Pelodiscus sinensis: one gene and its partners. The main gene of each other region encodes a partner of the protein of the gene in region 3 in a complex. Links are inferred from orthologs where the notes say so. Each region holds a gene or a part of one and is shown on either strand. Other genes may lie near its edges.

Region 1 (7,605 bases), on a different chromosome or scaffold from region 3:
AACGCTTCTTGTACCCAAGCAAAAGATCCCTGTAGTGCCCAAAATCCTGTGGGGTTTGCTCATCGTGTGGTTTACCAGTGAATGACTGTGGTGTGAAAGTGGGGATAGGGGGTCCTGAACCTGGGGGCTTATGAGGATGGCAGCTTAAAGTACTGTTTAATCCAGCCCACGGAGTCCAAAGGCACAGGAGGGTGCAGTGTGGCATTGCTGTGAAACCCAGCCAGCTGAGTCCAGGGACATATGAAGGGGTCAGCTTGTGAGTGCTGAGTACCCAGTCCTCTCAGACGTGCTCTGTTAGTGGGTGTGAGTGTCTGTGTGTGTTGCTAAGGTGGGAAGAACCCCATCCTGAGGAACCTAGTTCCTGCAGGAGAGCTCCAGTGGGAGGGGGAATTGGCAGCAGGGAGAATTCAGCTTCATATGAGAGCCCAAGTAAGCACCAAGAGCACACTGATAGAACTGTCAACTTTCCCCCAGTCCCATAAGGGTAACCCTGATAAATGAGCATACCCCAAAGTATTGGGCAAATCTGGTAACAATGTGGCAGAGAAGTCTCCGGGGGAAATAGGGATGGGGAATGCATTGGGGTCAGCTTGCTGGTGGGGCTGCAGACAGGCTGCTGAGCCAGGGCTGCCTAGCACACACTCGCGGTGTGACCTGTAGGCTAGCTATGGACATCCCAGGCTGCATGGGGAGCAAAGATACCCGGGTTACAGGGTAAGTGGGGACAGACCGTGACTGGACCAGCACCCAACCCCCAACACCACCCACATGATCACCCTGCCCTACAAGGCACAGGCTCTGTGGCTGTCTTAGAATGAATCAGCCACTGGGCATAGTGTAGCTGTGGGGTGGGATTGTCTTTCAGGGCGTGGCTGGGGGGGAAGCTGGAATCTCAGCATAGATGGCTGGGGGGTGCCCGCCCTGCCATCTGGTATCACCAGTGTTCTCCAGGCAGACCCACAGGGGTATAGAACCCACCCTGCTTCTCGGTTTCCACCTTCGTAGGCAGCATGGTGACAGGAGCCAGGAACCCTGTGGAGAAAGGTCGGGCATCAGAGAGCGAGCTACAGAGACACAGGCATGGAGAGCAGGGTGGGCGGCTGATGGGTTATAGCTGGGGGAAACTGGGAGTCAGGACTCCTGGGTACTATCTTGGCTCAGGGGGCAAGGAGGGGGCAATAAAACCCTGGTCTCCTGATCTAACCTCCCTCTAAGCTCCACAACCTCCTGTTAAGCCCCACCAGGGGGCTCAGGGCTGCAGTGGAGAGAGATGCCTCTCCCCAGCCCCGAAGCTGCCACAGTCGGGGGAGAGGTGACCCTCCCGCAGCCCCAGCCCAGAGCTGCTGCAGCCAGGGCAGTTCTGTGCTGGGCTGGCAGGGAAGCAGTAAGTAGCAGGTCCCGGGGGGAGGCTCTACACCAGCTGCGCATTCCCACTGGCTGGTTCTTGTGGTGCACAGGGGTGAGAGCAGTGCACATGGTGCACAGTGGAGCCTCATGCCCCTCCCATCCCCTGGAGCTGGACATGCTGGCTGCTTCTGGGGCCCAGAGGGGTGCCCCAAGAGGCATGCACCAGGCCTGCCTTAGCACCACAGGCCAGGAACCACCCAGGTAAGCCCAAGCCCCAGCCCCCCACCTGACCCCTCCCAACCCAGACTACCACCTGGACCCCAAATCTCTCATTCCTGGCCCCACCCCCAGACCGGAGCCTGTACCCTCTCCTGCACTCCAAGCCCAGGCCTCAGCCCCTCCCCAAATTCCTCATTCCCAAGCCCACTCCAGAGCCCACATCCTCGCTGGAGACTTCACCCCCTCCTGTACCCCAACTACCTGCCCCAGCCCAAAGCCCCCAATTACACCTCCTCAGCCTTATCACTGCCACACACTGTCCCTGTGTAGAATGACTTGTGTGACTGAGTGGGGAAGTGCAAAGAGGTTGCACGCACAGAGGAGGCACTCAGCGTCCCTGGGTGTTACTGGTTTAACAAGGGGAGAAGAGGGAGTTTGTTGTTACAGGGGACAGTACAGGAGACCCCAGTGACTGGCAGGCCCAGCTCGGAGGGCAGAGCCAGGTCTGGCCAGTGGGAGGATAATGGGTTGCAGAAACAAGACCTGGGTGACCTGCTCAGCTTGTTCCAGCGGGGTGGGGAGTGGGGAGCTGGGGGGAGAGAGAATAAAGAATGGAGAAGAGAGCAGAGGGGCCCAGGCAACCCTATTTTTCTGGACTGAAGACAAAGGCTGCGGAGGGGACTCAGCTGGAAGAAGGGAGCTTCTGAACTGGAAAGGGAGAGTTTAGGCAGAGCCCACTCAGCTGCAGGGGAGACTCAGACATGCTGGGCTGAGAGGGGCCAGGCCTACAGGCCTGAGGGTCCCTTTGTTGTGTTCAATAAACCCTCCTGTTTTACACTGAGAGTTGCTTTGGTCTGGAGAACAGGGCTGAACTATTCCCTTTGGGAGTGGAGGCCCTGGGGGCCTACAGCAGAGACAGGTCTGCTGAAGGCCTCTAGAATCACTGTCCCAGGAGACAGAGGGGCAGACCCCAGGGAGAGAGAGGACTTGCAGATAAAGGGCTGTCACACTGGAGTGGGTTCTGCCCAGGGACGGTATGGGCCAAGTGTGGGCGTGACCTGTGAGTGTGTGCCATAATTGTCTCCTCCATATGGTGCATATAACAAAAGTAATTCCACACACAGACATAAAACATTGGAGGGAACACTGGTCCTGACCCTTTCATGATGAATCCAGTTGCCAGATTTTTCAAAAACGACAAACTTCATTGGCCCTCAGAAGCCCCAGATAGGTCAGAGCCAGCCTGGTGTGCTCAACACCTGAGGAACAGCAGCAAGGATGGACTGACCGCCCAACCCGCCACTGGGCAAAGCTTTTCTTTGGCCTGTTTTTCTAGCCGCTGGGCAAAGCCACACAGAGAAACTGAAATGGGCCAAGTGCAGAGTAAGCCAAGTTCTCCAGCAGATGCACTGAAGTGGACAAAACCTCAGGGAAAGGTGCAAGCCCAAAGCCAAACAGAGTGGGAGGGAAGGGGGCTGGATCTTGCAGATGCTTTTCTGCCTCAGGACTGCTCAAACCCTGGACAATCGTCAGGATTTCAGGGCTTCTGGCTCCTTGCAGTTGGCACCACTACCTTTTTTCATTTGGGGCACATTTCCTTGGGGAACGTGAGCCAGCTACCAAAAGGAACAGCAGAGCCAGAACTGGCCAAGCTTGCAGTGGGGGACAGTGCTGCAATGACCCACCCCCTCCTGCCTCTCACATACCCCGCCCCCTCCCCGCAATGACCCACCCCCTCCTGCCCCTCACATACCCCGCCCCTCCCCGCAATGACCCACCCCCTCCTGCCCCTCACATACCCCGCCCCACCCCCCCGCAATGACCCACCCCCTCCTGCCCCTCACATACCCCGCCCCACCCCCCCGCAATGACCCACCCCCTCCTGCCCCTCACATACCCCGCCCCACCCCCCCGCAATGACCCACCCCCTCCTGCCCCTCACATACCCCGCCCCACCCCCCAGCAATGACCCACCCCCTCCTGCCCCTCACATACCCCGCTCCACCCCTCCGCAATGACCCACCCCCTCCTGCCCCTCACATACCCCGCTCCACCCCTCCGCAATGACCCACCCCCTCCTGCCCCTCACATGCCCCTCCCCACCCCCCCCCGCAATGACCACTCCCTCCTGCCCCTCACATACCCCGCCCCACCCCCCCCACAATGACCCACTCCCTCCTGCCCCTCACATACCCCGCCCCACCCCCCCTCAATGACCCACCCCCTCCTGCCCCTCACATACCCCCGCTCCACCCCTCCGCAATGACCCACCCCCTCCTGCCCCTCACATACCCCTCCCCACCCCCCCCGCAATGACCCACCCTCCTGCCCCTCACATACCCCGCCCCACCCCTCCGCAATGACCCACCCCCTCCTGCCCCTCACATACCCCGCCCCACCCCCCCCGCAATGACCCACCCCCTCCTGCCCCCACATACCCCTCCCCACCCCCCCTCAATGACCCACCCCCTCCTGCCCCTCACATACCCCGCCCCACACCCCCCGCAATGACCCACTCCCTCCTGCCCCTCACATACCCCGCCCCACCCCCCCGCAATGACCCACCCCCTCCTGCCCCTCACATACCCCTCCCCACCCCCCTCAATGACCCACCCCCTCCTGCCCCTCACATACCCCTCCCCACCCCCCCCCGCAATGACCCACTCCCTCCTGCCCCTCACATACCCCGCCCCACCCCCCCTCAATGACCCACCCCCTCCTGCCCCTCACATACCCGCTCCACCCCTCCGCAATGACCCACCCCCTCCTGCCCCTCACATACCCCTCCCCACCCCCCCCCGCAATGACCCACCCCCTCCTGCCCCTTACATACCCCTCCCCACCCCCCCCGCAATGACCCACCCCCTCCTGCCCCTCACATACCCCGCCCCACCCCCCCGCAATGACCCACCCCCTCCTGCCCCTCACATACCCCTCCCCACCCCCCCCGCAATGACCCACCCCCTCCTGCCCCTCACATACCCCTCCCCACCCCCCCGCAATGACCCACCCCCTCCTGCCCCTCACATACCCCGCCCCACCCCCCCGCAATGACCCACCCCCTCCTGCCCCCACATACCCCTCCCCACCCCCCCCAATGACCCACCCCCTCCTGCCCCTCACATACCCCGCCCCACACCCCCCGCAATGACCCACCCCCTCCTGCCCCTCACATACCCCGCCCCACACCCCCCGCAATGACCCACTCCCTCCTGCCCCTCACATACCCCTCCCACCCCCCCTCAATGACCCACCCCCTCCTGCCCCTCACATACCCCTCCCCACACCCCCGCAATGACCCACCCCCTCCTGCCCCTCACATACCCCTCCCCACCCCCCCGCAATGACCCACCCCCTCCCGCCCCTCACATACCCCGCCCCACCCCCCCGCAATGACCCACCCCCTCCCGCCCCTCACATACCCCTCCCCACCCCCCCGCAATGACCCACCCCCTCCTGCCCCTCACATACCCCTCCCCACCCCCCCCGCAATGACCCACCCCCTCCTGCCCCTCACATACCCCGCCCCACCCCCCCGCAATGACCCACCCCCTCCTGCCCCTCACATACCCCGCCCCACCCCCCCGCAATGACCCACCCCCTCCTGCCCCTCACATACCCCTCCCCACCCCCCCTCAATGACCCACCCCCTCCTGCCCCTCACATACCCCTCCCCACACCCCCCGCAATGACCCACCCCCTCCTGCCCCTCACATACCCCTCCCCACCCCCCCGCAATGACCCACCCCCTCCCGCCCCTCACATACCCCGCCCCACCCCCCCGCAATGACCCACCCCCTCCTGCCCCTCACATACCCCTCCCCACCCCCCGCAATGACCCACCCCCTCCTGCCCCTCACATACCCCTCCCCACCCCCCCCGCAATGACCCACCCCCTCCTGCCCCTCACATACCCCGCCCCACCCCCCCCGCAATGACCCACCCCCTCCTGCCCCTCACATACCCCGCCCCACCCCCCCACAATGACCCACCCCCTCCTGCCCCTCACATACCCCTCCCCACCCCCCCCCGCAATGACCCACTCCCTCCTGCCCCTCACATACCCCGCCCCACCCCCCCTCAATGACCCACCCCCTCCTGCCCCTCACATACCCCGCTCCACCCCTCCGCAATGACCCACCCCCTCCTGCCCCTCACATACCCCTCCCCACCCCCCCCGCAATGACCCACCCCCTCCTGCCCCTTACATACCCCTCCCCACCCCCCCCGCAATGACCCACCCCCTCCTGCCCCTCACATACCCCGCCCCACCCCCCCGCAATGACCCACCCCCTCCTGCCCCTCACATACCCCTCCCCACCCCCCCCGCAATGACCCACCCCCTCCTGCCCTCACATACCCCTCCCCACCCCCCCGCAATGACCCACCCCCTCCTGCCCCTCACATACCCGCCCCACCCCCCCGCAATGACCCACCCCCTCCTGCCCCCACATACCCCTCCCCACCCCCCCCAATGACCCACCCCCTCCTGCCCCTCACATACCCCGCCCCACACCCCCCGCAATGACCCACCCCCTCCTGCCCCTCACATACCCCGCCCCACACCCCCCGCAATGACCCACTCCCTCCTGCCCCTCACATACCCCTCCCCACCCCCCCTCAATGACCCACCCCCTCCTGCCCCTCACATACCCCTCCCCACACCCCCCGCAATGACCCACCCCCTCCTGCCCCTCACATACCCCTCCCCACCCCCCCGCAATGACCCACCCCCTCCCGCCCCTCACATACCCCGCCCCACCCCCCCGCAATGACCCACCCCCTCCTGCCCCTCACATACCCCTCCCCACCCCCCCGCAATGACCCACCCCCTCCTGCCCCTCACATACCCCTCCCCACCCCCCCCGCAATGACCCACCCCCTCCTGCCCCTCACATACCCCGCCCCACCCCCCCGCAATGACCCACCCCCTCCTGCCCCTCACATACCCCGCCCCACCCCCCCGCAATGACCCACCCCCTCCTGCCCCTCACATACCCCTCCCCACCCCCCCTCAATGACCCACCCCCTCCTGCCCCTCACATACCCCTCCCCACACCCCCCGCAATGACCCACCCCCTCCTGCCCCTCACATACCCCGCCCCACCCCCCCGCAATGACCCACCCCCTCCTGCCCCTCACATACCCCTCCCCACCCCCCCTCAATGACCCACCCCCTCCTGCCCCTCACATACCCCTCCCACACCCCCCGCAATGACCCACCCCCTCCTGCCCCTCACATACCCCTCCCCACCCCCCCGCAATGACCCACCCCCTCCCGCCCCTCACATACCCCGCCCCACCCCCCCCGCAATGACCCACCCCCTCCTGCCCCTCACATACCCCTCCCCACCCCCCCGCAATGACCCACCCCCTCCTGCCCCTCACATACCCCTCCCCACCCCCCCCGCAATGACCCACCCCCTCCTGCCCCTCACATACCCCGCCCCACCCCCCCCGCAATGACCCACCCCCTCCTGCCCCTCACATACCCCGCCCCGCAATGACCCACCCCCTCACACACTCCGCCCCTCCCCCCACAGCCCCTCTTGCCCCTCACAGCCCCCGGCTCTCACCTCCCTCCGGCACCCGCTGCTGGTGCTCCTAGGAACTGCCCGATTGTGACGATGGCCCCAACCCTCTGCTCCGCTCTCACTGGAGAGCGGAGCCGCCAATCATCAGACGACATCCAATTAGCGCCCAGAGAATCTGGCAGGGCACGCTGGGTACTGTAGTCCGCCTCGTGTCCGCGGGCCGCGCTTTACCTCCTGGGAAGTGTCGCGCATGCGGCTATTTCGAGCGGGAGGAGTACGACGGGAGCTGTGGGCAAAGGGCTCTACGGCTCATGGGCTATGCGATACGGAGACTTGCGGCGCACTGCCCCATGGGAGTCCCTGGCGCACTGCCTCACGGTAGTTGTAGTCAAAGCATTTCCTCAGCCTCAGAGCGCGCTAAAAGAGGCGCGGGGCACCTTGGGAGCCTGCGCCTCGCGGGAAGCGTAGTCCGGACCCGCCCACAGACGCCTGGCCCGCCATTTTG
Region 2 (7,831 bases), on a different chromosome or scaffold from region 3:
CCATCCGGGACCCAGCACAAGCCAGGACTACTAAATCCTAGCTTGCACCAAGTTCTGGACCTACCCCCACTGCAGCTCTGCAGTTTAAATGTAGGAGGAGCCAGGCTGCCTGCATGGCTGGCTCTTATTACATTTAAACGGCAGAGCTGCAGCAGGGCCCCTTACTGACTAACCGGGTACTCGAAACAAATTGTACTGAATACACAATTAGTCAAGTACCCACTTCTTAATATCCTTAACTTGCACCAGGCTAGTTAGCTCGTATCTGTGTTCCAGTATCTACTAGGCCAGGAGATAGTCGAGATAGTCACTCAAACACATGAAGTGGTTTTTACATTAGATTAAAAAAAACACCAAATATTGCTAGACATTGTAGTAAAATTGTGTGGATTGGCAATACTGATTTTTCATATTTTAAAGCCCCAAACTCCCAGATTCTATGCAATTTAAATGAGAATCTCATTTAAAAAGTTTCTAGCATTCCACTTTGAAAAAGGAATGAAAACATGACACCAATACATACTAAAAGCATATGACGCAGAAGGTAAATGCAAAGCACCCAAAATATTGTTTCTTAAATCATCAGGATTTTCAAGTCAATTCTATGATTTGGAGGTGGCTGATTTGAACACTAGAGGTTGTCAATACTCAAATATACTGACATCAATCTCATCTGCTACTTTTCTGCAGTATTTGAACGGACATTTTAAGCTTTTCTTCAACTAAGCTTTTAACATAGTTTGGTTGTCGTCGTGCCCCACGCGCGCACACACACTATCATGTCCTGTTAGGAGTGATAAAAACACAGCACATTATAAACCTAAATAAATAACTTTTCAAATGCTACTAAGAACCTTACTGTTTTGTCATTTGCTCCTCTATATGAACAAATAAACCAGATTTCTCCACTTAAGTAAAATTAAAAACATATTTATGTAAAAATAATAATGGGCAATGATCTATACATGTGTCAAGGACACAAAGCACCACATATAATCAAAGTTACAGAATCATTAAGCCATTCTGAAACTCATTAAGCAGCTCCAGAAGAGAGTTGGACTAGTAAAGTGACTCAAGTAACTAATTTAGCATTTCTTATTCTATTTGCCTATCACTTAGTTTGTGTGGTAGCACTTGACAGTCAATGAGCTGCTAGTTTTATGTTTTTGAACTTAAATCATGCCAAAACAGTATTTTTAAATATTCAGTTCTGCACGCTAAGTTCATTGTTCATTTACAAAAAGGAATTAACTAAAGATTTAGTGTAAAAGATAAATCTATATAGGAATCGAAAAAGTTCATCCTTCTTTGGATTCAGTTACATACATATTTCAAGTCCTGAAAAAATTGTAAAGATCACTACACCAAGAAGAGTTGGTCCACCATACAAATTACCTCACCTACCTTGTCTACTAACTACATGGATTATCAATCTGTGTGGCTTTTAAATGAAGAAAACTAATATTTTACACAGCAAAGATTGGTACACGAGGAGGTTTTTCCACATACCAGATAACAATCTATGCTGATCAAGTAAACTAAAATTTCCCCCCTACAGTTAGACAGGCTGCTTCTTTATGTTCTCTCTGTAATACATGGAGAACACCTTTAGCACTTGATCTTTGAGGTTTAGATCCTGCTGTTTGCATTTTAAACACAAAATACAACTAGAGACACTTGAAAGTATTTTGAAAGAGATATTAGCATCCCAGGAAACAGTAGTTAAACTCTACTATTTAAAGGCTGGGCTTCTTGCACACCAAACTAGGAAGGAACCAAATCGAGTGGCTATCAAAATAAGTTAATGATTTCTATACGGCAAGAAATCTCACCTGACCAGAGATTTTTCCCGAAAAACTTTCAGGAAGAAACAAAGATTTTAAGACCAAATAGATATCTGAAAGTATAGAAGTTGTGGACTTTTCTGCTCACTATCATTAAACTTGGCAAGACTAGAATCATTCAGGAGAGAGCACTAACCATGCAAAAAATCAGCATGCAAATAAAAGTATCGAGACCTCTCTTCCGTCTGCTGGGTCAGTTCAGGAGGAATACACAACCCACCTGGCGGCTCCTAACCCTTACTCTCGGTTCTAGGAAATCCCCACCCATCCCTTCCTGTACTGGCTGCCTACTGCCCCAGACTGGGAGATGGGGCAGGAGTGTGGGTGACGGTGGCTTGGTGTTGCTCCATGTCTCTCTGGGCTAAGAGAGGTGAATTTCGAGGAGCTCTTGTGTGCCGGAGGCCCAGGAGATGGCGTCTCAGGGCCCCTATCCCGTGCGGGATTTCAAGGGTGAATCCTGGCTGAGGGAAGAGCTGGAGGGCCGAGGATCCCAAGCCCCGGCCGCGGAGCAACCGCAGGGCTGTGGCTACCCCCAGCCTGCCGAGGCGCGGGGCCCGCACTGACCTGTCCTCCGAGTCCATCCGGCTCAGGGGTTCCCCGTCCGAGGACATCTCCAGGCTCCCGCGCCGGCCCCCCGAAGTGGCGCTACAGCTGCTGCTGCCGCTGCCGCCCCCTCCGCCCGTGCCGTAGCCTTCGTCCCCGCCGCTGGACACGCTGCTGCTGCTGCTACCGCCGCCGCGGCCCAGCCCGTCCTCCTGGCTGCCCCGCGGGCCCTTGGGCTCCTCCTTGGCGTCGGCCTCGCTGCTGCCGCCGGGGCTGAGCGAGCGGGTCTCGTCGCTGCAGCAGCCGCTGCTGGTGCTGCTGCTCCCCACCAGGCTGCTCGCCTCCTCCTCGCCGCCTTCCTCCTCCTCCTCCTCCTCGTCCTCCCCGTCCCCGGCCTGGCTGGCGCTCTCCGGGCTGGGCTCCGACATGCTCTCGGCCTCGCCGGGCAGCAGCAGCAGCGCCTCGGACTCCGCCGCCGCCGCCGCCCCGGCCGCCTCCTCCTCCTCCTCGCCCGCCGCCGCCTCGCCGGGCAGCAGCCCCTCCGGCTCCGCCATGTCGCTGAGAGCGGCCGCCATGGCGCCGCCGAGCCGCTGCCGCCGCCGCCGCCTGGGTCGCTCGCTCGCTCCGCCGCCGCCTCTCGCCCGCACAATCGCGCAGCAGAAGCGAGCGAGCCGCAGAGGGGAGGGGCCGCCGCACGCGCTACGGAGCCCGCCCGGGGACAAAAAACCGGAGCTGGGAGGGTGAAGCGCCCGCGGCGTCGGTGCGGGGGAGGAATTGAGGACTCGAAGCTGCTTAGGAGCGGGCAGAACCAAACGGGGAGGGGGGGGAAGAGGAGCGAGTGGGCAGAACCAAATGTGGTGGGGGGCGCTGAGGCGGGCAGGGAAGGGAGGGGGAGTGCTGAGTGGACACGAGGCTGGGCGGGAGTCAGGGCTCCAGGCTTCTCTCTGTTGGCTCTTCCAGAGAACGGGCCCTCCCTGCCTTCACCCCTTCCAGGCGCTGTGGGTCAGGCTAGGGGTGCCCCCCCCCACACTTCAATAAAGCTATGTTTGCACTGGTGGGTTCTTGCACAAGAACCGGCAGAGCATCCACACGGCCCGCCCGCTCTTGTGCAAGGCTTACCCTGCGGCATTGGGCTTCTCGCAAGAGCTACACTCTTTTCTAACAAGTGTAAGCCCTCTTGCGCAAGAGGGCAGTGTGGACGCGGACGCGCGGCAGGGTTTTCTTGCGCAAGAGAGCATCCACACTGCCATGGATGCCCTCGCACAAAAGCATGTGGCAGCGTGGACGTGTTCTTGCACCAGAACCCCCCTGTACAGACAGAGCCTATGGGTTTTCATAAGATAAGACTTTCCGTACATCATTGGGCACTTGTGCAAATCCATCCCACTCTTAACGTTGCACGCACCCTGCCCTACCATGTGCATGGGGGGATGTGCCCCTGGACGAGAGCAGTAGCACGCCCCCAAAAGAAGATGGTGCTCTTTCCACAGCACTTAAGGGAGATAGGGCCTGAGGAACCCCAAGTGGGTGTGAGCCCTAGTCTGAGTGAGAGAGCTTTCAACTAGCTAACTTGTAACAGGCCCTAAGGTACTCCACGTTCACGTGAGTCATCTCAGAGGAGATACTGGTTGACATTCCTTGCTGTTGGCAAATATTACAAATCATCTTGCGGAAACTGTGGCAGGTTTGGTCTTTAGTGAATTAAAGGAGGCCCTGTGAACTTGTGATGTACACCCTACCTTTCCCTGATTAGTAAGTGTTTTAAGGGAAACACTGACAAAAAACTTTTTATTCAAATGGAAACCCATTGCTACCTTGGACAGAAATTCAGGGAGAGATCTGAATGATTTACCCATATGAAATATTGTACAGAAAAGGTCAACCATGAGAGCTTACATTTTCCCCAAATCTAGCTGATGTAATTGCCATTGTTAAGGATGTTTTCATAGACACATGCAGTAAGTAACAATTTGGTAAGTGCTTAAATGGATGGAGTGAATGCAGCTTACAAAGCCTGTCAGCACAACGTTAAAGTCCAATGAAGGAGGTTCCCTTCATGGGGAGAAAAGCTTGTATAAGGCTCTTTAAAAATGTGATCATAGCGAGGCAGAGAAAAACTTTAGCATTGAAGAGGGGATGGAGTGATGTGTGAACATGGCTCCCAAGTGCACTCTCATAGATAGTTTCAAGTGCTTAATAGAGTATAAATAGTCCAAGAATTAGGGGTCTGGGAATCAATAGGTTGTAATTTACATTCTCATCAAATCTGAATCTTTTGTACTTAACAGCCTATGTTAGTCTGGAAACTTTTCTACTGTAGATCAAATGTTCTGGACATCAGAGAAACATGATCTCTCTGTGTCTGATCTCCAGTAAGTAGCCAAGCTGTGAGTGTGAGGAAGAGGGAGGATGGATGTAGAGATAAGATGCTCCCATAGTTTTGAGGTATTAAATCTGGTCAAATTTAAAAGGTTTTAGTGACTGAAATGATAAGAGCATCAATTCCAGGAGGTACCAAAACTACCTGAGCCAAGTAGTTGCTATTACTATCTTGTGTTATCTTTCTGAGCATGCTAGGACTCAGAGGGATTTGAGGGTAAGCATACATCATCCATAGGAAGCATTGAGTGAGGAATGCATCAGACAGGAATCCTGGGCTTAGACCTCCTTTGGAATAGAAATAGATACATTTCATCTTCTTGGGCTGTTGGAAATAGGTCTACAAAAGGATGACCCAGCACTTGGAAGATTTGATGGATAACAGAATCCTCGATCATCCACTCACAGCTTGACAAAAAATATCTTCTAGAGCATTCTCTACATCAAAGGGATCCTCCCTGCCCATTTATATAACATGTTTCCAGTTATAACTTGAATGGTCAGTCCATGGACAATTGGTAGGAATGCAAAAGTCTCTGTGAACCACTTTGGGCCCTGCAATATTCATATGTAGTCAGGTATCCTCATGGGTCTGGAGAACTGGAGCCTGATAATGGTCCAGATATGCTCCCTATCTCAGCAGGGACATGTCTATCACTAAGGGGGCAGAAGTGGATAAAAAGGGGGGAAAGATCTTTCACACTCCTAATGATAGACATTGTCATTGAATCAGAGGCTGAATTCAGAGGCATCCATTGCTGCGTGGAGGGTCATCCTGGCTACCAGCTGTTCATCAGCAATCAAAGATTTAAACTCCAGTCTGTTCTCCAGGGAGATGTCAAATCTGAAAATTTAATGTAATTTTAAAAATCAGCACCAGTAACACCTGATAATTAGCAATCCAGAAATACTGGCCAGTAGATGAGTAACTCTTACATCTGAATAAATCTCTGGAAGTTATCTTTCTGTTGCAGTGGGCTTGTTTCACTAACCACCATAACCATTACTAAGTAAGGTAGAGGTGAGTGCAGATACTCAGATCTGACAAATGATACCCAGTACCTCTTAGCTGACTTTTTTAGAAGTCAGAGGTACTGATACAGTTGTTTACCAGATGTGCTTTACTGGCCTTTTGTAATAAGGAGTGACAAACAACCCGGTATGACAGCAAAAAGAATGTCCAAGACCTTGTGTTGTCTCCACCAGTGTTGCAAGAGAATCAGCTACATGTTTGAGCAGATGCTCTTGTAGATGTGTGGAAGCTCTTGTAGATGTGTGGATGAGAAAGTATAGATCGAACCATTGCCTCATCAAGGGATGATGTTAATACAGTGTCTGGCTTTGACTCATTTCCTGTCTGGGGCTGGGAGGACTGCTTCTGTACCTAGAGGAGGAGGTTGATGGTGCAGAAACATAGTATCTTGTTTGTGAAGATCCCAGAGGTTCAAGAAAGGCCATGATTAAATGTTACATGGAACAGCACCTGACACCCAGGGAAAAGAGTATCAGGACTCAGGGCAGATGTCTACTTTTATATCCCTGTATAATCTAGGCGTTTATGAAACTAGGCAATTTCAGACTCATAAGAATAAAGCGAGGGGCCCATTACTGAATATAGAGGGGATCCCTGCTTTGTTGGGAATCTGATGAAGAAAGAGAGCATTCTCTGTCTAAGAGGTAGGGCCTGCTAATTAACAGATTTGTTTGAAAATCTTTGGAAAATTTAAACTATCCATGTATATTTGTGGAAGATACAATGTATTATTTATACAAAACAGAGACAGAGATCCCTGCTGTAAGCGAGAAATGGAATCTGTCCTTAATTATGGAGCTGCTAGCAACACCTCTGTTAGTTCTTCTCGCAGAATTGCCAAGAAAGAGTTATACAACAAAAATGTGAGTAGGCCATCCAGCAGATGGGGCAATTTTGTGTGTGTACATTAGCCAGTAAATCACTATAGTTTCAGAGATTATACTTCAAACTAACTGCCTATGGGAAGTCGTACTCTGCATTTGCTGGATTTAAAGCATTTGTTTTTCAAAGACAAAAAGAAAAGAAGACTTTTCATGCTGCAAAACCAGCATGAAAACATTAAAGTCCAGCTGAACTGTACAATTGTAGAATCACTCAAAAAACCCCTCAGAGTACTTACCGTGTGCCTCATAGTAGTCCAGATTGTGACCTTTTTTGTTTGAAAAGACCTGCTAAATTTTTCAAAACTTTGTGTATGTGTACATTTTGTAAAACCAAAATACTGATGAAAGTACAAAAATCCATTTAAGTGTGTATTTGTTAAAAATTCTCTCTACTTTATAGCCGTTCTGGTGAAAGCCCTTTCCCTCTATAGCCCTCGTAATTTAGGATAGGCTTCTTGCCTCCCACTTCTAAATTATCATTAGAAAATTTCCCTTTCTCTTGACACACTTTCTGTGGCCTACATTTTGTAGAGCCTGAGAAACTTACAATATTTTATTCATTTTCAGAACCCACTTATGAGATAGAAAGTAGGGATGTTAAATATAATTAGCTAATTGAATAGTCAATGGTATTTCCATCGACTGTTCGATTAGTTGATAAGGACTAGCATGACATTCTGCCTTTGAAATGTACAAGAGACACTGCAGGAACTCTTGTACATTTCAGCTGGGCCTCTTGTACTTTTCAAAGTGGACTCCTCCCTGATCCTGAACTCCATGTGGCATTTCAATCTCTGGGGCTCTTGCACATTTCAAAGCGGAAGCGCTGCATGGAGCCCAGGATCAGCGGGGAGTCTGCTTTGAAACCCTCTCTCCCTCTCCCCCCCTCCCGCTGCCTCTTTGTGATAGAAGCAGCAGCTGAGGAAAGCAATTAGTCAACTAGTGTGTCAACTATCCGATAACCTTTTGCTTTTCAGATAGTTGATTAGTCGCTTACATCCCTAGTCCATTGTACAGATGGGGAACTGAGGCACAGAAGCACAAAGATACATGCCCAAGGGAGTATGTGGCAAAATGGGATCCTGAATCCAAGTCTCCCAAGTATTCACCTAGGGCTCTAACCCCTGAACAATTCTTCATTTCTTCTT
Region 3 (7,112 bases):
GCCTCAGACAAGTGATCCTGATGGGTTTGGCTGTGAGGCTCTCAAGTGCCTGCAGCACTTTAGCTGTCCCCCCTCACTGCCCAGCTGCTCCTGCCCAGAGCCCCTGAGCTGCTCCAGGAGCCTCCTGCTTATTGTGCAGAATGGGGGAGACAAGAGGCAGGGAAGCATTGATGTCACTCTGTCCCCCTCTTCTGTACCCCATCTTCACAGAGTGAGGAGGGTGAGGCCTTGCAGAAGGGGTGAAGCAGGGGTAATTGGGTTTCAGGTAGATCCTGGACTGAAATTCAAAGAGTGAGCTTGTGCTTAAAAAGGCTGGAGACCACTGTCCTCTCTCATACTGGAGTCCTTATAGCATCAAAGTTCACTTGTTTTCTTTGCCCATCTATAGTATCTCTGATATTCCCCCAAGGAGCTTCTAGTGGAGTAAAGTCTTGAGGTTTATTAGCACTTTGAACAAGCAGAAGATGGAAAATAAATTGGTTCAGTAATTTAGGGGGATGACAGTGATTACTTTTAAGTTTGTCTCTGGGGTAGGATGGACAGGAAGAGATCAGAGAACAGTTATACAGCCGGTCCTCGAGTTACGAACACGATCCACACTTACGAACAGTACGGCCGCATTTAAACGAATGGGGTCCGACTTACAAACAAATGGAGTTACAACCAAGTGTTTGGTACGTAACTTGTCAGTAAGCAGGGGACCGGCTGTACTTTAAATAGAGGTGAAAATATTCTGCCAAACAGCAGTTCATTTTTTAAACAAAAAGGAGTGGAGATATTGGTTAACATGGTGTGCCGTAACAGTCCTCAACTCACTAAGGATAAGGCAAGAGCACAAATTGCTGGTCATGGAAGACAGCAACTACAGAGTCTTGATGCAATGTGAAACGCGATAGTGACTTTTTTCATCATTCAAAAAGTCAGAGGATAAATTTACCTTGTTACATCAGGAAGCCACTGAGCAGTCAAGCTGGGCCACTCCAGAGCATGGGTCATTACCAGATCATACAGGAAAGGAGTGTTCTTTTTCCAAATTTTATATTCCTCATTGATCACACGTTCCTCCACCGCATCATCAAAGGCTGCTAAAGTTTTTTAAAGATGCACAAAAATATGGACAAGTATTTATAAATGGTCAACAAGACAATGAATGTACATGGGGAAGCTTTTTTGGGTGGGGGGGGGGTCATTGACCCACAGAAGAAGAAAAAAGTCAGTCAGGGGCCACACACACAGGTGAGAACAAAAACAAAATCTTCACACACCCTGACGTGGCCGCAAACTGAGAAGGAGAAAGACTCCCCACCTCTCCTCTCACACACCAGAGCCTTGAAAGGGCCCAGTTTAGTAGATTGTGTGCTCCAGCTCTGCAGTGGGGGGGGGGGGGGGCTGAAGCACTAGCACAAACTCCCCAACATGAAGCAGGGGGGCCCTGAGCCTCAGGGGCTGGATCCAGGCAAGCCAGAGGACAGTTCCCTGTGCATGCAGCCCCTGTGCATGAGGTTCCCCACCCCTGGCTTATCTGATAGCAACACTACTGATGCATACACCATACTTCCACAAAAAGCCAACTACTAGATTAAAAAACTCCTGCAGCACATGCAATCACCTCTCTCTTCAGATAAAGAAGTCTAATCTAGAACCAATAGTTGTAGGAAGCAATACAAATTAAATACACAAGGAAGCAATGCCTGGGCTCACTTCATACTAGAAACAGCCCCATTAAGGCTACTAGTCCTAAATCAACCAATAGAGTCCTGTCCATCTCTCTTTGTGAGACAGATGAGTTGAATCTACACCTACCAACTCACCCTTCACTAAAAGTTACTTTAAAGAAGGTGCAAAGCTCTCCACAATTTAGAGCAGCATTTTTTTTTCCTGTAAAAGTGGTTTCATTGAACATTAAAAAATAAATCTCTTTAATACTACGCAGGTTCGAGCGACCTAGGAATCCCATAAAAACGCCAAAGTAAATATGGGATTAGACTCCAGATTAAGGATGCAAAACCCCAATTCATGTGTTAATTGGTTAAAAGTGATGTTTAACTAGTTAACCGCTTAAATGGGACCAGATTGAGGCGCACCCATGCTGCTCCGGTCGGACCTGCCCGTCGCATGCTAGGCTTGAGCGTCCCCCACCTGCGGCAGACCCCGCTGGGCGGGAACAGTCCCTGCCCGCATCAGGCCGGGGGCTGCTCCAGGTTAACGGTAACCGGGGGCAAGGGGGATGCTGACCCGTTCAACATCCCCAAAGCAGCCTGAGCGAGATCGGAGCCCAACACGCAGACCGAGGAGGTTTGGGGGCCGCAGGTGGCAGCCTCCTGGCCTCCCCTCGGGGCAGAGCGCGCAGCAGCAGGGGGCGGCCCAGGGAAGCGGGGGGGGGGCACGAGCCAAGCGCACTCGCGGCCCATTGCAGCCCCCCAGGGAGCGCGGAGCGGGAGCGCATCTTGCGCGGCCCCGCAGTGGGGGGGGGACCCCGGAAGGGAACCTCCTGGAGACCCCCAGGTGACCCCCCCCCACTGGAGCAGGCCCTGGCGGGGACGGCGCGCCCGAGGGAGGCGGGAGGGGGCCGCGGCCTGACCCCCCCCCCCCCCAACAGAGACGCGCGCGGGTGGAGACACGCCCCCGTCCCCAGCCTCGGAGCGGAGCCCCGCCCCCAGCCCTTCCGGGGAGGGCTGTGTCTCGGCGGGGGGAAAGGGGGAGCAAGGGGGGGGGCTCAGAGCAGCTCCCCAGAGACCGAGGGCGCGGCCCCTCCCCCCGCCACTGAGGCAGCCCCTCCCCCCGGCAGGTTCTCCACAGCCTGAGGTAGGAGCACAGCGCGCGCGTCCCCCGGAGGGGGGAGGGGCCCCCAGCCGGCCGGGGGCCCGCGCCTCAGCCCCGCGCTCTCGCCTACCCTCCTTGTCCGCCATGGCGAAGGTGCAGGCGGTGCGGCCAGCCGGCTCCTCGCCTCCCTCCGTCCCCGCCAGCCGCCGCTCTATTGTTTCCTGCCCCCTGCGTGCGGCTCCGGCGCCGCGCGCCCTTCGCGCCATCGGCCGCCAATCACAGCCCACTGCCCGGCCCGCGCGGCCAATCCGAGCGCCGGAGCGGGCTCGGGGGGGGCGGGTCCAGAGGGGCGGTGAGCGCGCTCTCCGGATCACGTGGGAGGGGGGAAGGCGCTAGCGGCTGAAGTTCCCCTGGGAGCCGCCATTTTCCAGTGTAGGGCATCTAGGGGGACATGGACCCTGGCTCGTGCGCAGGTCTTCTTAAAGGGCCAGTCACCAACCAGTGGTCACCTGCATACAGACACTATGGCTGTGTCTAGACTGGCAAGTTTTTCTGCAAAATCAGCTGCTTTTGCGGAAAAACTTGCCAGCTGTCTACACTGGCCGCTTGAATTTCCTCAGAAGCACCGACGATCTCATGTAAGATTGTCAGTGCTTTTGCGGAAATACTATGCTGCTCCCATTCGGGCAAAAGTCTTTTTCCGAAAAACTTTTGCACAGAAGGGCCAGCGTAGACAGCTCAGCTTTGTTTTCCGCAAAAAAGCCCCGATCGCGAAAATGGTGATCAGGGCTTTTTTGCGGAAAAGCGCATCTAGATTGGCACGGACGCTTTTCCGCAAAAAGTGCTTTTGCGGAAAAGCGTCCCATGCCAATCTAGACGCTCTGTTCCGAAAATGCTTTTAACGGAAAACTTGGAAAACTTTTCCATTAAAAGCATTTCTGGAAAATCATGCCAGTCTAGACGTAGCCTATAGAGTATCAACTTCTAGCCCTTGTGTGTGCCTCAGTTGGGGTCAGCCTGGGGGGTGGGATAAGCCATTGCACCCCCTCCTGCAGGTACCACTGTGGAAAACTATTTCCAGATGGGCATCCCTGCAACGCTCTGGCCTGGCACTGCATTAAGTGCATTTCCCCTAATAGCTGGGGTCATCCCGTGTCATTGCATGGACGTGTCCCATCTGCCAGTACTATGGTACTCATCTGAGCAAGTGACCGAAGGGTAAAGCCCACCTAGTGTTCCAACACTACTACCACTATCAGAGGGGTCGTCGTGTTAATCTGTGTCTGCAGAAACAATGAGGAGTCCTGTGGCACTTTAGAGACTAACAGATTTATTAGAGCATAAGTTTTCGTAGGTAAAACCCACTTCATCAGATGAATTGGAACGCAAGTTACAAAAGCAGGAGTATATATAAGGGAGAAGTTACTTGTGTTAATGAAGCTAATCAAGCCAGGGGGGGAAAGTGGATTATTCATACGGTGATCATATTTTCTGAACCAAAAAAAGGACACATTGGCCACGCCCCCAGCCTCATTAGCCACATCCCCTGATCTCTTAGTCCCTGCCCACCTGCTACATAAAGTCCCACCCCCGGAGGTAGTACTTCCAGGGTTAAGATGGACACATGACTGGAAGTAAAGGGTATCGTGTGACGCCTCTAAGAACTCCTCCCACTGTCCTCTGCCAATAGGGATGGGTTTGGCCCCCATAGGACCCTCCCATGCAACCATACTGAAATTGCATTAATCCAACTTGCATTGCATTAACTCGGGGGAAGAGGCCAGGGTTGCCTGTATTTCAGTGGCTCTCAAATTTTTTGGCCCATGAACCACCTGGCTCAGTGTAAACCTTTCTGCAGACCACCATTTGCTAATGGAAACTCACTGTGAATTACGTAATTACTCTCAAGCCGTTTTGCTAGTGCTGCAGCTAGGGAGAATGGTTTGACTTAAATTGTTAAATAGATTAAGCGTTTTAACTTTCTTGTGTTAGTTTATCAAACTTCATTTTAAATACAGTAAAATATTAATTTATGACCAACACAAAAGGTTTCAATTTTTTCTTTATTTATGGCAGGGGGGGGAACCTTTTTTGGGTTGGGGGGCCACTAACCCACAAAAAAATCAGCTGGGGGCCACACAAGCCAGAAGCAAAAAAATTCCTCCAAAAACCCCCAACCCACACTGAGCTGGCCCTTAACTGAGACACCTCACTCTTCTGGCATCCTAGCCCCACAGGGTGAGGGGATGGGACCAAGAGGAACGAGGTTCAAGGAAAGGATGTTAAATTGCGGTTATCAAGCTAATCGTGTAGTTGAGGGTAGCTTCAGGAGCTGGCTCAAGCTGAGACTCAGCAGTCCTGGCTCGTGCCGGGTCTGGGAGCCACCCAGACTGCAATTCTGCATTTTAAATGTAGTAAGAGCTGCCGGACTCTTAGTACATTTAAAATTCAGAGGTGTAGCAACCAGCACGAGCCAGGAATGCTTGGTCCCGGCTTGCGCTGAGTCCAGCTGCCCCTGTTCACGTCAGACAGCCCAGGCCACTGTGAACAGGGGCTGCTTAGCGGCAGCAACCCCGTCGTGAAGGGCTCAGCTCCTTGTTGGCCTGAGCAGCCCCTGCCCATGGTGAGCCTAGGCTCAGGCGTGGAAAAAAAAGGGGGTTCCGTGTGCAGGACAGGGCTGCCAATGTGTGGGATAGGGATGAGGTTCAGAATCTGGGAGGTACGTGCAGAAAGGGGAGAGGTTGAGACGTCTGGGTGGGAGGTTGGGTGCAGAGACAGGCTGGGCATAGGGTCCCTGACCAGAAAGGAGGGTGCAGGAGTAGTCTGGGGGTAGGGTTTCTGGCCAGGAGGGAGGATGTCTGGCCAGGAAGGAATGTACAGGAAGGGGTTTGGGGTAGGGTGTCTGGCCAGGAGGGAGAGTGCAGGAGCAAGGGAGGGTGTCAGAGCAAGCCAGGAATGCAGGATCTTAGAGGGGGGAGGGGAGTGAGTGAGGGGGATTTGGGTGCGGGGCCTTAGCATGAGGGGGGTGCTTATCTGGCTTGGCACCCCATTGCAGCAGGGAAAGCCTCCAGACTGCACGCTGTCATTCCCCCTGCAGGGGGGAACAGAACAGGAACTCAGTCCCCCCCCACATGCAGCGGGGATCCCAGTGCATCCACGGGGCTGCAGCACCAGGTCAGGCTTCCCACTGACAGAGCATGGGGGTGTGTGAAGAAACCCCAACATACCTCGCCAGACCAGGCTCACTGCCATTCCCCCAGCGGGGCGGGGAGGGGTGCGGGGGAGAGAGAGCGGCAGCCCGCCCCAAGGATTCTGCGCGTCCCCTGCCGGGGCTCAGGCAGCAGTTCAAAAGTGCTAAAGTTCGGGAGCGGCTACTCAGACCTTGGACCCGGCCATAGGGTTGCCAGATGGTTTCAATAAAGATACCGGACACACTTGATATGACATCACAATCTACATTACATCTTATTTAGAAAATACCGGACATTTCTATTTTCTCGTTTCTATTTTCTCAACTTGTTTCCCGAACAGAAAGCTCAAATACTGGACTGTCCAGTTCAAAACTGGACACCTGGCAACCCTACTCAGCCACCCTCTCTCTCCCAACATGAGTGGCTGCTGTAACAAGCCACCGCCTGCACGTGTGGAGGAGGAGGCTGTACAGCTGGACCCGGACCCCATCTGACAGAGGCAGTCCCATGGAGTAAGAAGGGGGCTGTGCGGTGGTGGGGCAATGGGTGATGAAGTGGTCAGAAACTACGTGCCACCAAAAGCCCGCCCCAGCTGGGAACACGCTGTTGATGCTGCGCCGCACCTGGAGCAATGGACTCACAGTCACTTCTTCCCGTTTGAGTCCCCGTCAAGTAGTGGGGGACTTTCCAGCAGGGCTTTCCAGGACATTTCACTACTTGATGCGGGACCAGGAAAGAGTCCTTTAAATCAGGACAGTCCCGGAAAAATCAGTATGTATGGTCAACCTAGTTATTCATAGTATTTGACGTGGAGATGTGACTATTCAGAGAGGGGAAATTGCCTTTGTAATGAAGTTCAGGAATGGTAACACACATAAACCTGTAGGGATACATTTTAACCTCCTTGGACAGTCAGTAATGGATTTGAACGGATTTAAAAAACCGGATACAAAGGGAGACAGCTGACCTGGAATTCATTTACAAATTCAACACTATCAATTTAGGATTGAATTAGGATCTCAACTGGTTACCGCATTACAAAGGCAATTTCTCCTCTCTGGATATTCACATCTCCATACAAATGCTATAAATGACCCACTTCCACCCTGACTTGATTAGCTTCATTCACACAAGCAACTTCTTCCTTAAATATACCCC
Region 4 (8,107 bases), on a different chromosome or scaffold from region 3:
GGGTGTATCGCTTTACCGAGGAGAGATGGGCGTATGAGTAGCTGCAAGCACGCCCGGACGGGCTGGAAGCTGGGCGAGGGCGCGTACAGAGGTGTGCTGAGGATGATCCGGCTGGGGCTTTGTGTGGGAAGAGCAGCAGCCGAGTGTGTGAGCGAGCCAGAGAGCCGCACATCGGTGTGTATCGTCTGTTTGGCAAATCAATACTCCCGGGATATGGAAAGCGTCGCTTTGGGCTACTGTTTTGAACTGTGAGCCCTAAAAACCCTCGGCTCAAGCCCCATAAACCGCTGGGCCGCGAGTTGTACGAAACACCTGATTTTAATCAGCGCGCAGCCTCCCAAGTCCACACTTCCAGCTTCAGCGCTCAGGCACCAGACCTGATGCAGAAGTGAAGTCTCCTGTTCCAAGCGGAGGGGCCCCCAGCTCCCCTGCCCGGCGCTGCCGGGCCCTGGAACGCTTTCCTCGGCTAGTTCCCTTCCCGAAGCCCCTCTAGCTTGGGGGTGGAAGATTAGGTCCTGGAGATGCACTCTGCTCTCTAAGAGCAAGCTGGGCGCATGCTATAGAATCCTGTGCGTCTAACTAGCCGGGCTGGGCGCACTTCCCCATTAGACGCACTCTCGTTTCAGCTGCTACACCACAACATAAAAAACTACTCCATTATGCTCCCCTCGCTTCTCCACCGGGGAGGGAGGAAGCCTTTTAAAAACATGTTCAGCTTCTTACCTAAAAGACGATAAATAGCCAGTGTTTTCCGGGGTATTTTTTAAATAGAGGCCTGTAAGGCATAGGTGGAAAAGCACAGTGTTAAGTGCAAGACTGCTTCGCTAAGGCGGCACTCCAAGCGCTTTGTAAGCCCCGCGCGCCTTTGTACGCCGCTTTTGTGTTCACGCGGCCACATGCAAAACTGCGAGGAAGGGGTGCGTATATTCCGCACATGCACACAGCTGTGGGAGGAGGTTGGGTGTCTTAATGGGGCGTATTGAAAAAAATACAACCTCAGAGTTAAGCGGCTGGGCCTGGCCTTCGGGCTTGCGGATGTGAGTTGTGTCCTTTTAAAAAAAATTAAAAAGTGTTTGGAAGTGTCAGTTTTCAGAGGCTACGCTAAGCCACTTCACATTGCAAGGATTAAAAGGGAAGCAAACGACTGGAAAAATGCGATTTGCTTTATTATTAAGCATGTAGGGAGCGGCGGACTCTTAGTTCAGGCTGTGCTGTGCAAAATTGGGAAGAACAATTCCAACCGAAGAAGGGAGAAGCCACTGTCTGAGTGGACGCAAGAATTGGTCCCGGTAAACCACGAAAAAAAACCCTTGACTTTAAAAAAAAACCACAGACACACCAAAGATGCTACACAATACTACACCTGAATTACAAAATCAACCCTTGAAATCAACTCTTGCTATAAGAGATGTCTGTGTCTCTTTCACTTACCGGCCGGCCCCATTTGGAAAATTAAAAGTCTAAACTACAAAATAAAATAAACCTAAAATACGAGTTAGTTTTCTCCCTTTTCCCCTAGCCCCAGGGTCATTTAAGATTCTAATTCCTCCTCCCCAGCAGTTAGACACAAACTTCGCTCCTCTTACCTGGAACAGCTTTCTCCCCTCTTCACTGCCATGACCTACGTTAAAAATGTGTGTGTATGCAAAGGGGGCTGCTCCTATCGGATCCCACATATTCCTGGACCGTCCAAATATTAATAAGTCCTGGAAGAAACAGTGTGAAAGGGCTGCTACTTAAACGAGACACCGCTATTTTAAAAGTATTAAAACACAATTGTAAGGAGCACAGAGAATGAGTTTGAAATTACAGCCTCCAGATATTTTGCACAGAGCCGGAATGAAACAAACTTTTTTTTAAAAAAAAGCGCAGCTTTTGACAGATTCACTAGGCACTTAAATTCCCTACTGCACTCAAACTTTAATATTGAACCAGCTCGGAAACACAAGCAAGTATTTAAAGCTGGACTCTACAAAGAAGGTGGAAGCGGTGGGGGTAGGAATAAAACCACTCTCTTTTCTACAGGCAGCCAACTCCTCGTGTGAAGATTCAGCTTTGCAAAACAGAAAGTAAGAAAGAAAAAGTCCAGGAGAAAAGGGGGGGGGGGGTGAGGATAGAATCTGCCGCAAACCTTAGACGTTGAAATTCCAAAATCACAACCTCTAGAAAGAGACCCCCTTAGAGCCCCCCCCCCCCCGACTTCCTTGCCCCCCTCCCTTAGCTGAGCGAGTCTAAATCTTTCTGTGTCAATGTCTTCCCCGGAGGAGTCTGCGAATCCAAAGCCTTGGTGAAAAAAGGATCCATTTTGATACAAATTCTTTTCCCTTCTTCTCTCACTCTCTCTCCTAACTAACTGTCCCTTAGACTGCTGGGGTCTCTCTCTCACACAAACACCAAGTCTCTCCCTCTCTCTGGATTCAGAAGGCTGGTGCCAAACGCAGACCTCTAGCGCCCACTATTTCAAGAGCCAGGAATATTTTATTTCACAAGACTTGGAACGACTCAATAAAAAAAAGTTGCTATCCCCTTTCGTCAACTTTGCAGCGAACTTTCGCTTCTCCCCCCCCCTTTCGTTACCAGCTCTGCTCTCCTCCAGTTCCTCTGGGGTGCACCCCAGCAAAGCGCTTCTGGGGTGCAAGACAGACCCCCCCCCCCAGCCCTCAGGAAACCGCCAGCCGCCGCTCGGCTCCGCACAGTGCGTCTCCGGACCCAGCCGCTCACACACACCCAAAAGGGGTGGACAGCCGGGCTCTCTCATCTGGGCGCTAGGCAGGAGAAAGGGCACGAAAAGGGGGCTCCGGCCCCCCCCAAGCGACTCGCAGCGCCCAGCCCGCCAGCGGCGCAGATCCTGCGGGACCCCGGGGGGGAGGGGGACCCTGGAAGCGGAAGAAGGGAAAGAAAGGACCTACTTTTGGGCAGCTTTCTCGCCCTCGCCTTGGATCTCATCTTGTCGGCTTGTGGCTTCTTCTCCTTGAGCCCAGAAGCAGCTACACACTATCTTCATCTCCCGAGCATTGTCAGTTTGGACACCTTCGCACATGCGCACAGAGCATTCAATCTGACACCCTCGCCAGGGCCAAAAAAACTTTCCAATGTATTCATCACCATCAGGGGGTTTTTTTTGGTCCTATCCTCTTCTTCAGATCACTTATCTCTCCCCCCCCCTCCCCCCAGCACCATCACAGCCTTTCCTTGATCTGCCCCTTTAAGAAAAATCAACCCTCTCCGCGCCTAACCCTTTGCACACCGACCTTCCCCACCGGACAATATTTAAGGATCAAGGTCCCATCCTAGAAAGAGGTGATTATTTATTATTAATTATTACTCTTCTTTCATAGCAATGGTATGGCACGGAGATGGGGGGAGGGTGTGCTTTGCGAATGGCGAGTATTTAAAACATGCTTTTTTAGGCATTTTTTAAAAATGATTTTTTTTTAAAGAAAATTCCTATAACTTTTCTTTAGACGCGCAAAAAGAGTTGTGTGCAATTCTTCTCCCCTCCCTTTGATTCGGAGTAGTTGCGTGGTTATTTAAAAACATGATTTGGGATTTGCACCACGTCGTCGTGCAATGGTTTTCACGAGGCATTTTTTTTTTTTTTGCAAGACCGTTGGAAGAATTGTCTTTACTATTTCCATTTCTAAATTCTGAGGTGTGCACATTTTCAGGAAGCATTGAAAACAACCCCCGTTTTGATACCTTTTCCGGGTTTGGCGTGTGTGTATGTGTGGCACTTGTGGCTAGCAGCGTCCTTTCTTAAATTCAGTGTACACATTTACACAGGGCCAGCATGTTACCTGTTAAATAGAGAGGTAACCTTGCTCTTGCTAATAGGGGAATTGGAATTGTGTTTGGGTGATTAGCACAGGGCGGCTGCGTTTAGCACCTGATGCAATCACACTTAATCTGTATTATTTGGCATGGTTTGTATGTTTCCGCTCTCTTTTTTCGACAATTAATTAAGACCAAATAATAGGTTAAACGGTACCAAACTCAGCTCGCCGGTGTTTTTAAAGGAGGCTGGGAATTAGAATGCAGGGGTGTATTAAAGAGAAACATCTGTTCCCATCTCCATTTGTGCCTTTGCTTCAAAGCTCTAGCAGGTAGCTGAGTGTGGATTTCAGAAAGATCCCAGATCGTTTCTATGCGTTTCTTTCTCTCACCCACTCCTCCACACACTTTGGGGGGCGGGGGGGGGGGGAATCTCGACCTTCTGTGTGGACTGGTCCATCCCGTTCCTAGGTTGTCCCTCCCTGGACTGAGAGATGCTTTGCTTTCCCCATCCCCTGCCCGCCGAAGGGGGTCTGCGGAGGAGCAAAGACCCTGATTCGGAGCAGTCTCCTGCTTTTGCCTTGCAGGTCCCAACGCAGAGCCAGACCCCGGACGCCCCGTAACAATAGCGCTCGCCTCCTCGGGAAAATTAAAAACCCTGCTTCTGCCCAGCGAGCGCTGCCCAGACCTTGGAGTTGTCCGTGATCCCCGGAAGCGGAGGCAGCGACAGCTCAGACAGCCCCTCTTTGAAGAAAGGAGCGAAGAGTAAATAGCCCGGTGATTGATGGGCTGCCTTTGACTGCGGAGAAAGCGCTATTTTCCTTCAAGTGGCCAGGTCAGATGGTCACGGAAGAAGGTTGAAAGGTAGGATTTAATGAGATTAATATGGAGGGAGAGCGACTTCATAAACATTCAGGAACATAAGCGGACTGGGAAGGGGTAGAAATCCTCGGATGTGCCGAGCCACATAGGGATCCGGCGACCAGAGGCCTCCCACTCCAGGGCAAGCCAAAAACAAAGCGAAAAGTTAGCCAGAGCTTCGGGCTTGCTCCTGGAACCCATTCTGCCAGCTGAACTTTTGCACTGCAGGTGGAAGGGGGGGTGGAATTAGTCTGGCTAATTATTGGGTTTCCTCTCCTCGACGCGCGCTTTAATTGCAGAGGGAAGCAGGGCCCTACTTATTTAGTAATAGATGGGGAGGGAAAAGGAGACCATTTTAAAAAATGTAAATATAGGGCAACTTCCAAGCCTGGGTCGCCAAAAGCGCTGACATTCCCACTGTGGATCGCTCGCTTGCAAATGTATCAATATTTAGTCCTTGTGTGGACCCGAAGGGTTGAAACCCTCATTGTGGGGGGCGCTGAAATGTTGCCACTGTTGATCTGTCGTTTCAAAGCGGTTGAACTATTTCCTAGCCAGGCTCTAGGTATCTTCCACGCCCCTAAAATGAGCTGGCAATAAACTAAATGTCTGGGTTTAGTCTGGGTTAAACTAACTGCTCGTAGTTATTTTCTCCTCCACCTTACTGGCCATTCATTGTGTCCGCAAAACAGCCGTGGGGAGGGGAGACCCCCGTCCATTTTTTTCCGAATGGCATTTAAAAAAAATCCGATTGAACAAATATTGATATAAGCGTGCAGCCCAATTGACACGAGGATTGGAGGAAGAACAGCGGAATAATTTTAAATGAAATTTCTCGCCGCATAGGGTTGCTAATTGCACGCGGGGTTGTTTTAAAAAAATAATAATTCTGCGTGCAAGTCATTCTTGGCTGGCGGTCGAATCTACAAGGCGTATCGTGCACTGACTCCTTAGCAAGACGAGCATTACAACGCACATGCATGAAATAGAACCAGCTAACTTTTCAATCCAGGGAGCCGCAAACGGCAGACCGTGCTTCTGTTAGCTGACACATTTAACAACTGTGCTAGACTCCAGCTGTCGGGCTGAGTGAAGGGACCCTCAGGTGCGTAGCAAGAGCTTAATCTACTCGAAACGGTCAGAGATCACTTTCACCTGGGAAGAGAGCACAGCAGAATCCTAAGGATTTTATATACCCCCTCCCCCCCCCAACACACATACTATTTCCCTATAAAGCCGGCTAGAATGCAAGAACCTCAATTAACACCGATTGCACAAAGGTGTCACTGGAAAGCCTGTTCCTTGGCTTCGCAACTCTTAACCATAAATCTTTCGATTGCCAAAAGTGTAGCATCCCGGATACCTAGAGGTGTGTTCCTTCCAGAAACAACACAGCAGCTGCCTTCCCCTAACCGCTGTACCCGACTGGCCTGGCCTTGAGGGTTTTCTCGGGACAGATTCCTAGACAGTACGGGGGACTCGCCGACCTGTTTTCTGAAAGCATTAATTTTATTTATTAATTACAAATTAAGCAGGAAATGAAACTGCAAAGCAAACGAGCTGGTGGGCTGCGAACTAAGAAGCAAAGAGGCTGGGAGTAGCCTTTAGCTTGACTGGGGAACGATTTCTTTCCTTGTCCTTGTATTTACAACGCTCCTGTAGTGAATGTGATCCGTGCACTATTTAAATGTTGTAACCAAGATCAAACGGATTTCTCTTCAGGGTCCCCCAGCCCTTCCTCCTCCCCCTGTCCATCTGACCGACAATAATTTACAAAAAAGGAAATATCCCGTGTGGAAACGGGGGGTGCAGTTTTCCCTCCCTCTCCCTCCCCGTCCGAAAAAAACCCCCCACAACAGGTACAAAACTGACATCGAATTTATCCAAGAGCATTTGTGAAAGGAGGAATTGCGGGAGGAATTTTTTAAAAAAACAAGAACTAATCCCCAAGTTTAGTGCGTGTACACATTCTGAAATTATTAAAATTGTGTTAAAAATGCGAAGTGTGCTTTCCGGATTGGGTCACAAGACCCCCCCATCGCTTTTGTTCCAGGGAACAATTTGTTTTAAGTCAAACATATTTCGAGTGTATCATTCTTATAAAAAAAAATCGAGGCGTGATGTCCGTTTACACGGCGCTCCTTCTAGGTTATAGTTCGATTCGCTGCGCAAGTACAGCCGGCTCGCAGCCTGCTTGTGTACGCTCTCGCATGCCTTCCCCTAGTCCCTGGTGTGTTCGCCCGCACAGAGCACGGCGTGTTTTGCTGCATTTCAGACTTGACCTCGGGTGGAGGGGGGAGAAATCGGACTAACGACCCAAAGCTGGGGCGTAGCAAATCCCGAGCTCCAAACTATGAAAAAAGAAGAAAGCTCTGTAGCCCTCTTGCATGCCGATTCTGCGGCTGGCTGTCAAAAACCCGACCTCCCCGGGCAGAGGAGAGCAGACGCAGGACCGGGTGTTGGATTGTACAAAGGAATCCATCTGATCCCGTTTTGCACCTGTTTGAATTCGTATCGCTTTCACGGATCTGTGTGTGGGGGGGGGGGGGGGGAGTGGTCCCCTATTCCTTGCTAGTCTGCTGGGGAAGGGAGTCACATGTGGCCGCCTGGCCTGGCAAGGTTAGCCCAATGAATAACCGTGTGTTCTCCCCGCAGCCGGACGCCCCGCTCCCCCGGCGAGCTCGGTGCCCTTTTACACCGATTTCAGAGGACGCAGACTGGGCGGGTGAGTGGCTGAGCAGGATACAGAGAATCCCTGCCCAGCGCTGGGGGTGCCACAGTCGCTCGCCCGGATCCCCATGGGCAAGCTGGGTGCATGCCCGCAGCAGGTTTCAGGCTTGGGCAAAGCTATTCCCCGCGCCCCGGGGCAGGATCCGACTCGCGTTCCTCCCCGGGAAACTCGGGCCTTTGGGAGAAACGAAAGCCCCGGAGGCGGGGAGAGGAGCGCACCTTCTGCCTCGGAGACTCGCTTTTGGCCCAGGCGGTACAACCGGGGGCAGGAGGAAGCTGGGGAGGTGTCTGCCAGGCACCCAGAAACCAGCCGGGGCGAGATGGCCACGTGAAGACTTTCTTAGGCTCTGCCGCCACCCCTCTTTCCACCCGAGTCCGAATCCAGCCGGGGCGAGTGTCCACACGCGCGCGCGCCGGGGCTCGAAGGGGGCTACTGGAGGGGTTCGAACTGGGCTGGACTTTCGGCACTGGACTTCGAAGCGGCGCTGCAGGCGACACTTTGCGGCCAGGATCCTGGCTTGACCTCCCCCCCCCCCCCGCCAGCCCGATTGGGGCAGCGGCTTTCGGGGTGGGGGTTTTTTTTGCGCCCCCGGCAGCTTGTCAAAACAGGAGGTCGCCTTTCCCTTCTCAAGTCGGGAAGCAGCTTAAAAGGGCTAGGAGAGGGTGGCGGAGCCGCTGCTGTCTCCTCCCGAGGATTTCGGCACAAACGCCGATTGTTTCTGTAGGGAGATTACTCTGAGAATTA

What was found.
Region 1: the proteins of RBBP4 (region 3) and LIN37 are in contact, whole or in part, in a crystal structure (PDB 7N40), measured with the Homo sapiens proteins. The link is inferred for Pelodiscus sinensis from reciprocal best matches to the Homo sapiens genes RBBP4 and LIN37. Residues at the interface, in NP_005601.1 of Homo sapiens: Thr37, Ala39, Leu40, Glu41, Tyr98, Asp99, Ser100, Glu101, Lys102, Gly103, Glu104, Phe105, Gly106, Lys114, Glu116; in NP_061977.1 of Homo sapiens: Asn112, Thr113, Pro114, Leu115, Tyr116, Pro117, Arg120, Arg124.
Region 2: the proteins of RBBP4 (region 3) and AEBP2 are in contact, whole or in part, in a cryo-EM structure (PDB 8VMI), measured with the Homo sapiens proteins. The link is inferred for Pelodiscus sinensis from reciprocal best matches to the Homo sapiens genes RBBP4 and AEBP2. Residues at the interface, in NP_005601.1 of Homo sapiens: Ala6, Phe8, Asp9, Asp10, Val12, Glu13, Glu14, Arg15, Val16, Ile17, Asn18, Leu45, His71, Gly106, Gly107, Phe108, Gly109, Glu126, Asn128, Arg129, Glu179, Tyr181, Glu231, Asn277, Lys317, Asp318, Phe321, Thr338, Asp339, Arg340; in NP_001107648.1 of Homo sapiens: Asn378, Lys379, Phe397, Phe398, Asp399, Thr402, Ala405, Ile406, Arg409, His476, Ser478, Pro490, Asn491, Ile492, Tyr493, Arg494, Thr495, Met496, Pro497, Arg500, Lys502, Arg503.
Region 4: the proteins of RBBP4 (region 3) and PRDM16 are in contact, whole or in part, in a crystal structure (PDB 6BW4), measured with the Homo sapiens proteins. The link is inferred for Pelodiscus sinensis from reciprocal best matches to the Homo sapiens genes RBBP4 and PRDM16. Residues at the interface, in NP_005601.1 of Homo sapiens: Ala39, Leu40, Glu41, Trp42, Pro43, Leu45, His71, Thr72, Ser73, Asp74, Glu126, Asn128, Arg129, Glu179, Tyr181, Asp198, Val229, Glu231, Asp248, Glu275, Asn277, Phe321, Glu395, Asn397; in NP_071397.3 of Homo sapiens: Met1, Arg2, Lys4, Ala5, Arg6, Ala7, Arg8, Lys9, Leu10.

What each region holds. Positions count from the first base shown.
Region 1 is NC_134734.1:5,191,135-5,198,739, reverse strand, and holds the start of LIN37 (protein lin-37 homolog), read right to left. Parts: upstream 3,165-7,605; 5' UTR 3,150-3,164; coding exon 3,140-3,149; intron 1,033-3,139; coding exon 979-1,032; intron 1-978.
Region 2 is NC_134711.1:114,664,468-114,672,298, reverse strand, and holds the start of AEBP2 (zinc finger protein AEBP2), read right to left. Parts: upstream 3,153-7,831; 5' UTR 2,963-3,152; coding exon 2,409-2,962; intron 1-2,408. UniProt on the Homo sapiens protein: Acts as an accessory subunit for the core Polycomb repressive complex 2 (PRC2), which mediates histone H3K27 (H3K27me3) trimethylation on chromatin leading to transcriptional repression of the affected target gene.
Region 3 is NC_134735.1:3,390,323-3,397,434, forward strand, and holds the start of RBBP4 (histone-binding protein RBBP4), read right to left. Parts: upstream 3,053-7,112; 5' UTR 3,030-3,052; coding exon 2,894-3,029; intron 2,806-2,893; exon of another isoform or gene 2,678-2,805; intron 1,086-2,677; coding exon 938-1,085; intron 1-937. UniProt on the Homo sapiens protein: Core histone-binding subunit that may target chromatin assembly factors, chromatin remodeling factors and histone deacetylases to their histone substrates in a manner that is regulated by nucleosomal DNA.
Region 4 is NC_134733.1:20,850,237-20,858,343, reverse strand, and holds the start of PRDM16 (histone-lysine N-methyltransferase PRDM16), read right to left. Parts: upstream 3,048-8,107; 5' UTR 2,947-3,047; coding exon 2,910-2,946; intron 1-2,909. UniProt on the Homo sapiens protein: Binds DNA and functions as a transcriptional regulator. Displays histone methyltransferase activity and monomethylates 'Lys-9' of histone H3 (H3K9me1) in vitro.